3 linked regions of the Oryza sativa Japonica Group genome follow. The protein of the gene in region 1 interacts with the protein of each later gene in a pairwise test. Links are inferred from orthologs where the notes say so. Each region holds a gene or a part of one and is shown in the gene's direction. Other genes may lie near its edges.

Evidence for each region.
Region 2: the proteins of transcription factor PCF5 (region 1) and SWI/SNF complex component SNF12 homolog interact in binary tests that used the Arabidopsis thaliana proteins (3 or more experiments, as listed by UniProt). The link is inferred for Oryza sativa Japonica Group from reciprocal best matches to the Arabidopsis thaliana genes TCP4 and CHC1.
Region 3: the proteins of transcription factor PCF5 (region 1) and splicing factor SF3a60 homolog interact in binary tests that used the Arabidopsis thaliana proteins (3 or more experiments, as listed by UniProt). The link is inferred for Oryza sativa Japonica Group from reciprocal best matches to the Arabidopsis thaliana genes TCP4 and ATO.

What each region holds. Positions count from the first base shown.
Region 1 is NC_089035.1:6,231,306-6,234,963, reverse strand, and holds transcription factor PCF5, read left to right. Parts: upstream 1-782; 5' UTR 783-1,116; intron 1,117-1,123; exon of another isoform or gene 1,124-1,223; 5' UTR 1,224-1,557; coding exon 1,558-2,934; 3' UTR 2,935-3,036; intron 3,037-3,150; 3' UTR 3,151-3,604; downstream 3,605-3,658. UniProt on the Arabidopsis thaliana protein: Transcription factor playing a pivotal role in the control of morphogenesis of shoot organs by negatively regulating the expression of boundary-specific genes such as CUC genes, probably through the induction of miRNA (e.g. miR164).
Region 2 is NC_089038.1:19,088,797-19,092,547, forward strand, and holds SWI/SNF complex component SNF12 homolog, read left to right. Parts: upstream 1-1,426; 5' UTR 1,427-1,475; coding exon 1,476-3,037; intron 3,038-3,141; coding exon 3,142-3,226; 3' UTR 3,227-3,490; downstream 3,491-3,751. UniProt on the Arabidopsis thaliana protein: Involved in transcriptional activation and repression of select genes by chromatin remodeling (alteration of DNA-nucleosome topology).
Region 3 is NC_089037.1:29,917,059-29,920,809, reverse strand, and holds the end of splicing factor SF3a60 homolog, read left to right. Parts: intron 1-140; coding exon 141-299; intron 300-403; coding exon 404-475; intron 476-568; coding exon 569-730; intron 731-1,804; coding exon 1,805-1,882; intron 1,883-2,172; coding exon 2,173-2,301; intron 2,302-2,608; coding exon 2,609-2,755; intron 2,756-2,953; coding exon 2,954-3,100; 3' UTR 3,101-3,346; downstream 3,347-3,751. UniProt on the Arabidopsis thaliana protein: Splicing factor homolog to SF3a60 that may be involved in pre-spliceosome formation. Is necessary for gametic cell fate determination.

The sequences.
Region 1 (3,658 bases):
TTTGAACAAATCTATGGGCACCATCTCGGTCCCTCGACCCGTTATGTTTTTGGCATCAAATGAACTAAAAATAGCTTGATCTTATTTCCATGCAATGGATCAAACTTGGGGCAAGTTTGGACAATGACGCCACATAAAACCCTCTTTTAGCAAGGTGGGGCTACAAATAAAACACACCATCAATCTATAAACAAGTATCTCAGGGGAAAGGTCTCACATTTGAAACTAATATTGCAACTCTCGACTTTCCAAAAAGGAAAATCATTAACCATTGGCATATACCCTTGAAAAAGCTCCAGTTGCCATCTTACTTGCCTATGCAACTGCCCAACTACAAGAATTATAGTACAAGCACTCTCTAAGAATACCACAAGTTAGCTTCTGAAGAGCATAGATATTCATGTCATGACAAACATGTCTACTGTACAACAAAAAAGAAAAATCGGCTAAGTAGATCACTCCACAATTGTGCGAGTAGATACTAGCGGTTACATATACACGAACGTATATATAAACATAGTTAAAATTGCTATATATTACCATAAAGCTATCGAGATGCGCTTAATTCCTTATCCATGGAGACTAGGGTGTGTGCCTCCGGTTTTTATTTTTTTTCCCAAAGGCACGTACACGTGTGTGTGTTCGAGTTTCATCGCGATTCGATCGTTGTCTACTGTTTTTTAATAATACAACAGATGTCCTAATCATCCACGCATGCATAACCCACAATCCCCCAGCATCATCCATCCCTTCCCAATTCCCAAATCACCACCTCTCTTCATCACTTGGGCTCCAGCCTCCTGCAGCCCCAGCCAAGCTAAGGTAAGCTCCATCTGCTTCTGATACACACACTCACACACAAAGCAGCAGCCAGCATCAGCAGCAGCAGTGTGAAGCAAAAATCTCTATCTCTCTCTCTCCTCACTAAAGCACAAATCCTACTCTTATCATCCTGTCTTCTTGCCTCCCTTCTGCCTCCTGCTCACCAAGCTTCCCACACAAACCCAACAAGAGAGTGAGAGAGGAGCAAAAGCTTTGGCTGGCCGTCCCCCCTGTTAAAATGTGATGTCCAATCCATGGGATTGCGTCTAGTTTAGTCCCCCACTCCTCTCCTGGGTCAGTCCCTCCCTGGCCACCACCTCTTCTTCTTGCAGCCTCCTCCTCCTCCGGGGCCTTCTTCTTGTTGATTCTTTTGATGGTTTTTGTGTTTCTTGTCGACCTAGTTATGGGATCCGGCGAGGTGGATGGACGCGCATTGGAGCAGCAACAGTAGCGGCGGGGAAGAAGGCGGCGGGGGATCTGGATCCGAGGCACCACCACCACCGGGTCACCCACGGCGGCGACGGCGGCGGCGTAGGAGGAGGAGGAAGCGGGGGACAGGAGGAGGCAGATGAGCAGCAGCAGCAGCAGCACGACCACCACCGGCTTCTCCAGCTCCACCACCACCAGGGTGTGCAGCAGGACCAAGAACCGCCGCCTGTTCCCGTCTTCCACCTCCAGCCGGCGTCCGTGAGGCAGCTGTCGGGCTCCTCCGCCGAGTATGCCCTTCTCTCGCCCATGGGCGACGCCGGCGGCCACTCCCACCACCACCAACACGGCTTCCAGCCTCAGCTCCTCTCCTTCGGTGGCGTCGGCCACCACCACCACCTGCATCAGTTCACGGCGCAGCCACAGCCCCCCGCCGCGTCCCACACTCGGGGTCGTGGAGGTGGAGGTGAGATTGTCCCCGCGACGACAACTCCACGGTCGAGGGGCGGAGGCGGCGGCGGCGGCGGGGAGATCGTGGCGGTGCAGGGCGGGCACATTGTGCGGTCGACAGGGCGGAAGGACCGGCACAGCAAGGTCTGCACGGCGCGCGGGCCGCGCGACCGCCGCGTGCGGCTGTCGGCGCACACCGCCATCCAGTTCTACGACGTGCAGGACCGGCTGGGCTACGACCGCCCGAGCAAGGCGGTGGACTGGCTCATCAAGAACGCCAAGGACGCCATCGACAAGCTCGACGTGCTGCCGGCGTGGCAGCCCACTGCCGGCGGCGCAGGCGCGGGCAATGCCGCCGCGCCGCCGTCCTCCTCGACCCACCCCGACTCCGCCGAGAACTCCGACGACCAGGCGCAGGCCATCACCGTCGCGCACACCGCCTTCGACTTCGCCGGCGGGGGCAGCGGCGGGACCAGCTTCCTCCCGCCGTCGCTCGACTCGGACGCCATAGCCGACACGATCAAGTCCTTCTTCCCCATGGGTGGCACCGCAGGCGGGGAGGCATCGTCGTCCACCACGGCGGCGCAGTCGTCGGCCATGGGTTTCCAGAGCTACACGCCTGACCTCCTGTCCCGCACCGGCAGCCAGAGCCAGGAGCTCCGGCTGTCGCTGCAGTCCTTACCAGACCCCATGTTCCACCACCAGCAACATCGCCATGGCGGCGGCGGCGGCGGCGGCAATGGCACCACGCAGCAGGCGCTCTTCTCCGGCGCCGCCAATTACTCGTTCGGCGGCGGAGCCATGTGGGCCACCGAGCAGCAGGCGCAGAACCAGCGCATGCTGCCGTGGAACGTGCCCGACCCCGGCGGCGGCGGCGGCGCCGCCTACCTGTTCAACGTGTCGCAGCAAGCGGCGCATATGCAGGCGGCGGCTGCGGCGCTGGGTGGCCACCAGAGCCAGTTCTTCTTCCAGAGGGGACCCCTTCAGTCCAGTAACCAGCCCTCCGAGCGAGGATGGCCGGAGACCGTCGAAGCCGACAACCAGATGAGCCACCACCAAGGAGGGCTGAGCCCCTCCGTGTCGGCGGCCATCGGTTTTGCCGCTCCCGGCATCGGCTTCTCCGGCTTCCGCCTCCCCGCGAGGATACAGGGCGACGAGGAGCACAACGGCGGCGGCGGCGGCAATGGCGACAAGCCGCCGCCGCCGTCGTCTGTCTCCTCGGCTTCTCACCACTGACCGCAGCAGTGGCGAGCAGATGACTTCACCACCACCAATCCACCATGAGCAAACACCACACCATGTACCAGACTATCAGCTAGCTCCTCCACTTCCATCACGGTGAGAAAAAAAAACCGAGAATTCTCATGGCTAACCTGCATTAGTTCAGAATTTTTCTCGTGTTAGTTAGCTGATCAATCTTGTGCTGCTGGTTTTGGTGTTCTTGACATGCAGGAATTGTCGATTGCATTCGGGAGGAGCAAAGTTTGGAGGTAGCACAAGTGCACTACTACTGATGCTACTACATATCGGTTGGTTGGTTGGTTGGTTTTCCATCGATCTCTTCTGCTGCTGCGCATGTCATTGGTTTTTGTTTCAAGAATTCACTCGGAGCTTCTTAGAATTAGGCTTGTGAGAATGCAGCAACACGATGGCAAGCTTTAGCTTAGCTTAGCAAGCCTCTGTGTCTGTTGGCTGTTGCGTTGCGCTAGGTGTAGTTGATCGATGTAGGTTCGAGCTTGCTTTGCTTTGTTTTGATTTTTACTCTTTTGTTGCTGATGCATGGACATGCTTTTGCTTCCTCCTGTGGGTTCAGGAGCAGTTGCTACTAGACCGATGTTGTTCTCAAAACTGATAAGTGGGATGGTGATGGATTGGGAGAGGAGCCTATCTTTCATCTTTTCCAAAACTTGTGGCCTCTTTTCTTTATACTGTAGTGTAGGCTGGAAACAGATGGTGCATG
Region 2 (3,751 bases), on another chromosome or scaffold:
AGGAATACAAAAGACACTGTGGGCTGGTTTGGTTTGAGGCCTAAATTAGGCTTACCAATATTTGGCAATTTCAATAGTGTTTAGTGTCTATTTGGTTTGAAGCCAAATTTTGGCATGCCTAAGAAAATAGGCCATTTCAATAGTGAACTTAGGCTATTTTGGCTTCAATCCAAACACAACTTTGCCTTACCAAAATTAGTCATGCCAAAACTTGCCAAAATTTGGCATTGACATTTTTCATTATAGAATCAGCCCTATCGCTTAAGGTTCCTGTTGAGTACGATCTTTTTTCGAACTTACAGGGGCGCTGCGACAGCTAAATAAAGCGAGCACTCGGCAACTTCAATCTCACCTCTACCCGCATTGAGGTCAAAACCATCTCTCGATCGGGGCTATACTACTGAGTCGAGTTTGAGGTAGTCCCTTTATGTTTGTACCTTAAAATGGAAAAGGGGCGTGGTGCCTTCTAGCGGGAGCTGTAACACCACTTGGTCCACAAACCAAACCAACCTTGTATACCCATTTTAATATCCCTATCATAAGGGTAATCATGTAAATTCCCCTATAACTAAACCCTAGAGGGTATGAGCCTATACTAGGACTATAAATAGCCCCCTAGGCCATGTAATGGGGTGATCCTAAAATATTTTTACCAATCAATATATTGTTTTACTATTCCAACAATTCATCGAGTTTACCATATCCTTCGACGTGAAACAGTTGTCATTCGACAATAGTATCCTTGAACCACAACACCAAATATCTTGACCCTTCAACTATTAAAACCGTTCCAATTTGACTTCCTTTGGTTTTAGAGGGCGGTTTCGCTGACGTTGCGTCTACATGGCAGCATTGACTTGGTCTATAACGTTGACGTGTCGCTTAGATGGTATTAGAGTTAAAAACATATATGTGGGATCCATTTATCATTCACACACTAAGAAAAAATTATTATGAGCCAACATATAGGACTCACATGTCATCCTCTCCTCACTCCTTGCACTCTCTCCCTTCTCTCTCCTTGCACTCTCTCCCTTCTCTCTATCTCGCTCTCTCCCCTTCGGCCGCATCGCCGCCTGGCGCCGAGCGGCACCATGCTGCCACCTGCATCGCCGCCTGCTGTCCGTCAGTGCCTCTCCTTCACCTCCCACCGCATCGCTGCCTGCCGCCGAGAGGCGCCCCTCATGAAGGGAGAGAGCGAGGAGGAAGAAACGGTGTGAAGGTTTATCTTTCTTCACTACTTGCACGATGATGACGATGTGGAGCTAAAATTAGAAGCCCATGAAGGCTCAACTGTTACAGCCCAGCCCATAAGAAACGGTAGCCCAACACCCAACTCAACCCCCTATCTTCCATTCTCTCTCCTCCCGAAAGTCCGAAACCTCCCTTCCTCGCTCGCTTCACACCCCCCCTCTCTCTCCCCCCCAAACCCTAGCTCCCGATTCAGATCTCGCCTCTCCCTCGCCGCCGCCGCCATGGCCACCGGCGGCAACCCCAACCCGAACTCCACGCCGACCCCTCAGCCGCGCCCGCCCCAGCCGCAGCAGCAGGGCGGCTCCCCGGCGACCCCGCTCGGCCACCTCCGCCCGCCTTCCCTCGCGGGCTCCCCCTTCCAGGGCCTCTTCCACACCCCGCCCCAGCACAACCCGGCCTTCCAGATCCACATGGGCGCCGCCGCCTCGCCGCAGAACCCGCTTATGGCCGCTGCCGCCGCCGCCGCCGCCGCGGCCTCCGCCAAGCGCCCTCCCCAGAAGCCCCCCGCGCGGCCCCCCGCCCCGGGCTCCTCCTCCTCCGGGGGCGGCGCCGCCGCCGCCGCCGCCGCGGCCGCGTCCGCGGCCGCGGCGTACAAGGCCGCTGCCGCCGCGGCCGCCGTGGGGGCGAACTCCGCCGGCGGCGTCGACCTCACCCCGGCCGCCGCGCGGCGCAACAAGAAGCGGAAGCTCCCCGAGAAGCAGCTCCCCGACCGCGTCGCCGCGCTGCTCCCGGAGTCGGCACTGTACACTCAGCTGCTCGAGTTCGAGTCCCGCGTCGACGCCGCGCTGCACCGCAAGAAGGTGGACATCCAGGAGGCGCTCAAGTCACCCCCCGCGCTGCAGCGCACGCTCCGCATCTACGTGTTCAACACCTTCGCCAACCAGGCGCCGCGCACCATCCCGCCGCCCAAGAACGCCGAGCCGCCCACCTGGTCGCTCAAGATCATCGGCCGCGTGCTCGAGGACGGCGCCGAGCTGGACCCCGCCAGCGTCGTGCCCAAGCACAACCCTGTGTACCCCAAGTTCTCGTCCTTCTTCAAGAGGGTGACGATTGCGCTCGACCCGTCGCTGTACCCGGAGAACCCGCTGATCATTTGGGAGAATGCGCGGTCGGCCGCCCCACAGGAAGGGTTCGAGGTGAAGAGGAAAGGGGATAAGGAGTTCTCCGCGAATATCCGGCTGGAGATGAACTATAACCCTGAGAAGTTCAAGCTCTCGCAGCCTCTGATGGAGGTGCTCGGGGTTGAGGTGGACACTCGTTCGAGGGTGATTGCTGCCCTCTGGCAGTACATCAAAGCGAAGAAGCTGCAGAATCCAACCGATCCTTCGTTCTTTATGTGTGATCCACAGTTGAAGAAGGTCTTTGGGGAGGATAAGCTGAGGTTTGCGATGCTATCGCAGAAGATATCACAGCATCTCTCTCCTCCGCCGCCCATCAACTTGGAGCATAAGATTAAGCTCTCTGGGAATGGCGCGCATGCGAGTGCTTGCTATGATGTGATTGTGGATGTTCCTTTCCCTCTGCAGAAGGAGATGTCTGCATTTCTTGCCAACACTGAGAAGCACAAGGACATTGAGGCATGTGATGAGGTGATATCTGCTTCGATCAAGAAGATCCATGAGCACCGCAGGAGGAGGGCATTCTTCCTTGGTTTCAGCCAGTCCCCAGTGGAGTTCATCAATGCACTGATAGCGTCTCAGAGTAAAGATTTGAAGCTGATCGCAGGAGAAGCAAATAGGAATATTGAAAGAGAAAGACGTGCAGACTTCTATAATCAACCATGGTAAGCTCAAGCAAATCTTAAGGCTTTACTCATTGTACTTCCTGCTTGAAACCATATATCAATGTGCTGACTAATAAATTGTTTTCCATTCCACAACGAAACAGGGTTGAGGATGCTGTCATAAGATACCTGAACCGCAAACCGGCTAGCGGTAATGAGGGCCCAGGCGGTGGTGCTGGTGGTTCATGAGGAAAGGGGTTGGTATTACTGTAGTGCCATTTTGGTGTAGAAACAAGCTATCTGTTATGTACTAGTAAAAATTCAGATATGTTAGCGACAACCGATTTGTTTGCTGCTGTGAATGATCTTGGCAGGTGTACCTCCATTGTCTGTCCAAACGAGTTATCTACTTGTATGATTATGTGATAAGTGATCCCTAACTACGGTGGCAGTATGAATTGTCATGCTAATTGCTAAATGCTGAAGGGAAAATGCTCTGTTCTAGTTACCTAACATATAGGTATCATATGTGGGCACAAGTTTTCTCTGTATGATGCTGTGTGTGGCTTATCATTTGTCCCACTGGGGAGGTTGTGGAGGGGGACCTGAGACTCCGAGAAAGCTGTATCTTTTGTATTTGAACATGCTTATTGGAGGGAAAAGGAAATGGAAAGAGTCCCTATCTTTAAGTGCCTGGAGGATCAAGTCTCTTTTGGGCCAGCAGCATATGTTCTCTCTTTTGCTGGATCATCGTGCCTGTCCACTGTTGGCTAA
Region 3 (3,751 bases), on another chromosome or scaffold:
TTCTAGTGTTTTTAGCTAGGGTTCCTCACTGTTATTTTCACTTTTATGTTCACGTAGACACTTCATTCCTATGTAAGTTAGGCATTTCACACAATAACAAGACAACAAGTAAAAACTAACAAGCAGTACACTTTGTTCAGTTGGAAAGCGAGTTTGAAGAACAGTGGATCAATGGTGAAGTGCCTGGATGGGAGAGCAAGGACCCAGAGAAAGAATCTGCACAAGAGTCAGTAATAGACCTTGATTACTATACCACTGTTGAAGAGCTTGTTGAGCTGGGCCCAGAAAAGTTGAAAGAGGTATGACTTGCAATACGTTGTTATTATTACCTTTTTTTTCCTGTCCTATTATTCAACTTTCGTTGGGCTTTTGTACCCTATTGATTGGTTTTGGTTTTTGCCAGGCTTTAGCTGCTCGTGGATTAAAAAGTGGTGGTACTGTTCAACAGCGTGCTGAGCGACTTTTCTTGTTGAAGGTAATTAATGTACTTTTAAACCTGGATATTCAGCTCATCTTTTTTTAAATATTTACCAAATATTCTGAACTTGTCGATGATTATATCTTGCAGCATACACCCTTGGAACAATTGGATCGTAAGCATTTTGCCAAAGGTTCACACAGTTCTGTCTCCAATGCTACTTCTAATGGTAACAATTTCAAGGATAATTTGAAGAAGGAAATTGCTTTAATGGAAGTAAAGATGAGGCGCCTTTGTGAGCTACTAGATGAGGTCAGCTTTGCCTTGCTCTATGTGTGGCTGTATATATCTTTCCTTTGATATGGACTTGTATAGCTGCATTATCTAATGACATGCTTCTCTTTTACTCCCTCTGTCCCACAAAATATCAACCTAGTACCTGACTTTGACATATCCTAGTACTATGAATCTGGACATATATCTGTCCAGATTCGTAGTACTAGGATGTGTCAACATCATCAGGTACTAGGTTGGTTTTTTATGGGACGGAGGGAGTACTTGTGTAGTCAATCTTTATATATTCTACTTCGGCTTTGATAAGTGTAACCTACTGGGATTTATTAATCCATGCTGTATAGTATGATCCTTTGAATTTGTTAGATCTTCAGGATGCTTTCTTATCTTGATTGGCTAGAAGTCTAGTAGTCTGATATAGGGTGTGTTCGCTATTCCTGGATCCCAACCGGATCCCTCTGCATGGAAAACGGAGCGGTCCATTAGCGTGTGATTAATTAAGTATTAGCTATTTTTTTTTAAAAAAATGGATTAATTTGATTTTTTTTAAAGCAACTTTCATATAGAAACTTTTTGCAAAAAACACACCGTTTAGCCGTTTGAAAAGCGTGCGCGCGGAAAACGAGGGAGAGGATTTGGGAAAAGGGGCATCCGAACACACCCATAGCATGGTATTTCACTCTCATGTGTGGTGTACTGCATAACCAGTGCTGTAAAAGGCACAAAAACGGTTATCTAGGCACTTAAGCATGGAATACACGAATAGCAAAGCAAAACCACCTGAGTATGCATCAGGAGCATCAACTTTTCACAAGATGCTTGTTCTGCTAGGCAGTCATGAAAACCTTAGATTTTGTGCACAAGATAATTAACAAACATATTAAATTACATGTAGGAGAAGTTAAAAAGTACTCTGTTTTGTTCCTTACTACCAAGAATATATAGCAAGGTTAACACTTGTAATTGCTGTGTTTGCTGATATCATGATATCCCATATTTAATGTGTGCCTATATTTTTAATACACCATTTTTATGTCCATAATGAAGTTAACCTGTGCTCATGTTTTGATATATCTTATGCTATTTATGCAGATCATTGTACGGACAAAGGAAAATGCAGAGAAGAAGCTGACTCTCACATATGAAGAAATGGAAGCAGAACGAGAAGAGGTAATCTGCATGCAGCCCTCTTAAATTCTGTTTTCTGATCTGCAAAAGGCCCTGATAGTAGAATAAAGGTCAAAGGTCATGTTGGGTCATACATTTTTTAACAGAGGGAGTAAAGATATGTTTAGTTAGAATTTTAGTTATTAGTGTGATACTTCGCTTCTAATTTTGTCCAAGAGTTCACAACTTGGTTCTACTTTTCCTCTATTTTCTTCTCCGTACTTCACAGAAGTAAAATAATAATATTCTACTCAAAGTACTGAACCTTTTGTCCTTTGTATTTTTTTCTATAGGAAGAAGTGCAAGCTGATAGTGAAAGTGATGATGAAGACCAACAAATCTACAATCCTCTTAAGTTGCCGATGGGTTGGGACGGCAAACCTATACCCTATTGGCTATATAAGCTCCATGGTCTTGGTCAGGTAAATATCTCATTGGTTTATATCTAAAGATTATTTAGTTCATGGCTGTTTTGCTAAATCATATCTTAGTATTACCAATGTTTAGAGCTGCAAAATTCCTGTTTTGCCAAAACAGAATGCTAATTTCTATAGACTACAAATGGTATTTGCATTCTCACATGCTCCATTTATTTTTTGTATTTTTATTCATTTTTCAATAATACCCTGAGCTTCAGCATTGGTGGCATCATTTTCCCATACAGTTCTAGATATTTACATATGATTTTAAATTGTTAACATATCTTAATTGCTATGATTTTTTTGTCAGGAATTCAAATGTGAGATATGTGGAAACCACAGCTACTGGGGGCGACGGGCTTATGAGCGGCATTTCAAGGAGTGGCGCCATCAGCACGGGATGCGCTGTCTTGGAATTCCTAATACTAAGAACTTCAATGAAATCACATCCATCCAGGTAAATCATCACTTTATGCTACCTGTACATCCACTGAATAGCTTAATTTGTTCTCTCAGAAATTTGAGAGAAATGAGTACTTTGCTTAATCTTCCCATATTGGCTGTTTTTATACATGTTCTCAGAAATTACTGTTGCTGCGAATGTGGTAAATTGGTAATGGAAGGGGCAATTGACACCTCTTATTTCTGTTTTCAGGAGGCAAAAGAACTCTGGGAGAAAATTCAACAACGACAAGGGCTGAACAAGTGGCGGCCAGACCTAGAAGAAGAGTACGAAGATCAGGAGGGAAATATCTACAACAAGAAGACCTACACTGATCTGCAGCGCCAGGGCCTGATTTAGAATCCCTGATGCGATCCTAACATTTTGGCCCCTATGGGCTGCTGCTGAAGTGGTTGGCCATTTGTTCTATTGAACTTCGTTGACCTCTGGGTAGTTGTAGCACTCGATACTTGTAGCACCATGGGTACTCCATTGCTCAAATGTTTCTTTTCTACTACATGGTATATTGCACTATATCCCTGTACCCTGTTTGACCATCTGGTATACTGTTTGCACAATCCAGGGTTAAATCGCCATTGTGTCGGAGATGTCGGAGTCAAACTTTATATCCAGAACACTAGAATGGATACTTCTAGAGGCATGCGTCCTATACATCTAATTTTGATAGGTTTAAACATGATCTAGAATGCGCACACAAAGATTATAAAAAAGCATAAAAGGCCAAAGAGAAAAAAGAGAGGAAGGAACGAGGGTGTAGTTTTCAATGTCTCGATGTTTGGTCTCCAAGACTAAAATGTCGCTTTAGTGCCAGCCATCAACGCTGATAGGAATTGGGATAAAAACACAACAAATATGTCGCAAATCAGCAGGCCTAACCTATCCCTGCCAATTGCTTCCAACTACCTATTTATAGTTTTAGAGAACGCCCAATTGGCAGTAAAATACAGCTACTACTGATTGGCCTCTCTAGGGTAATTTTCGCATGGAGTC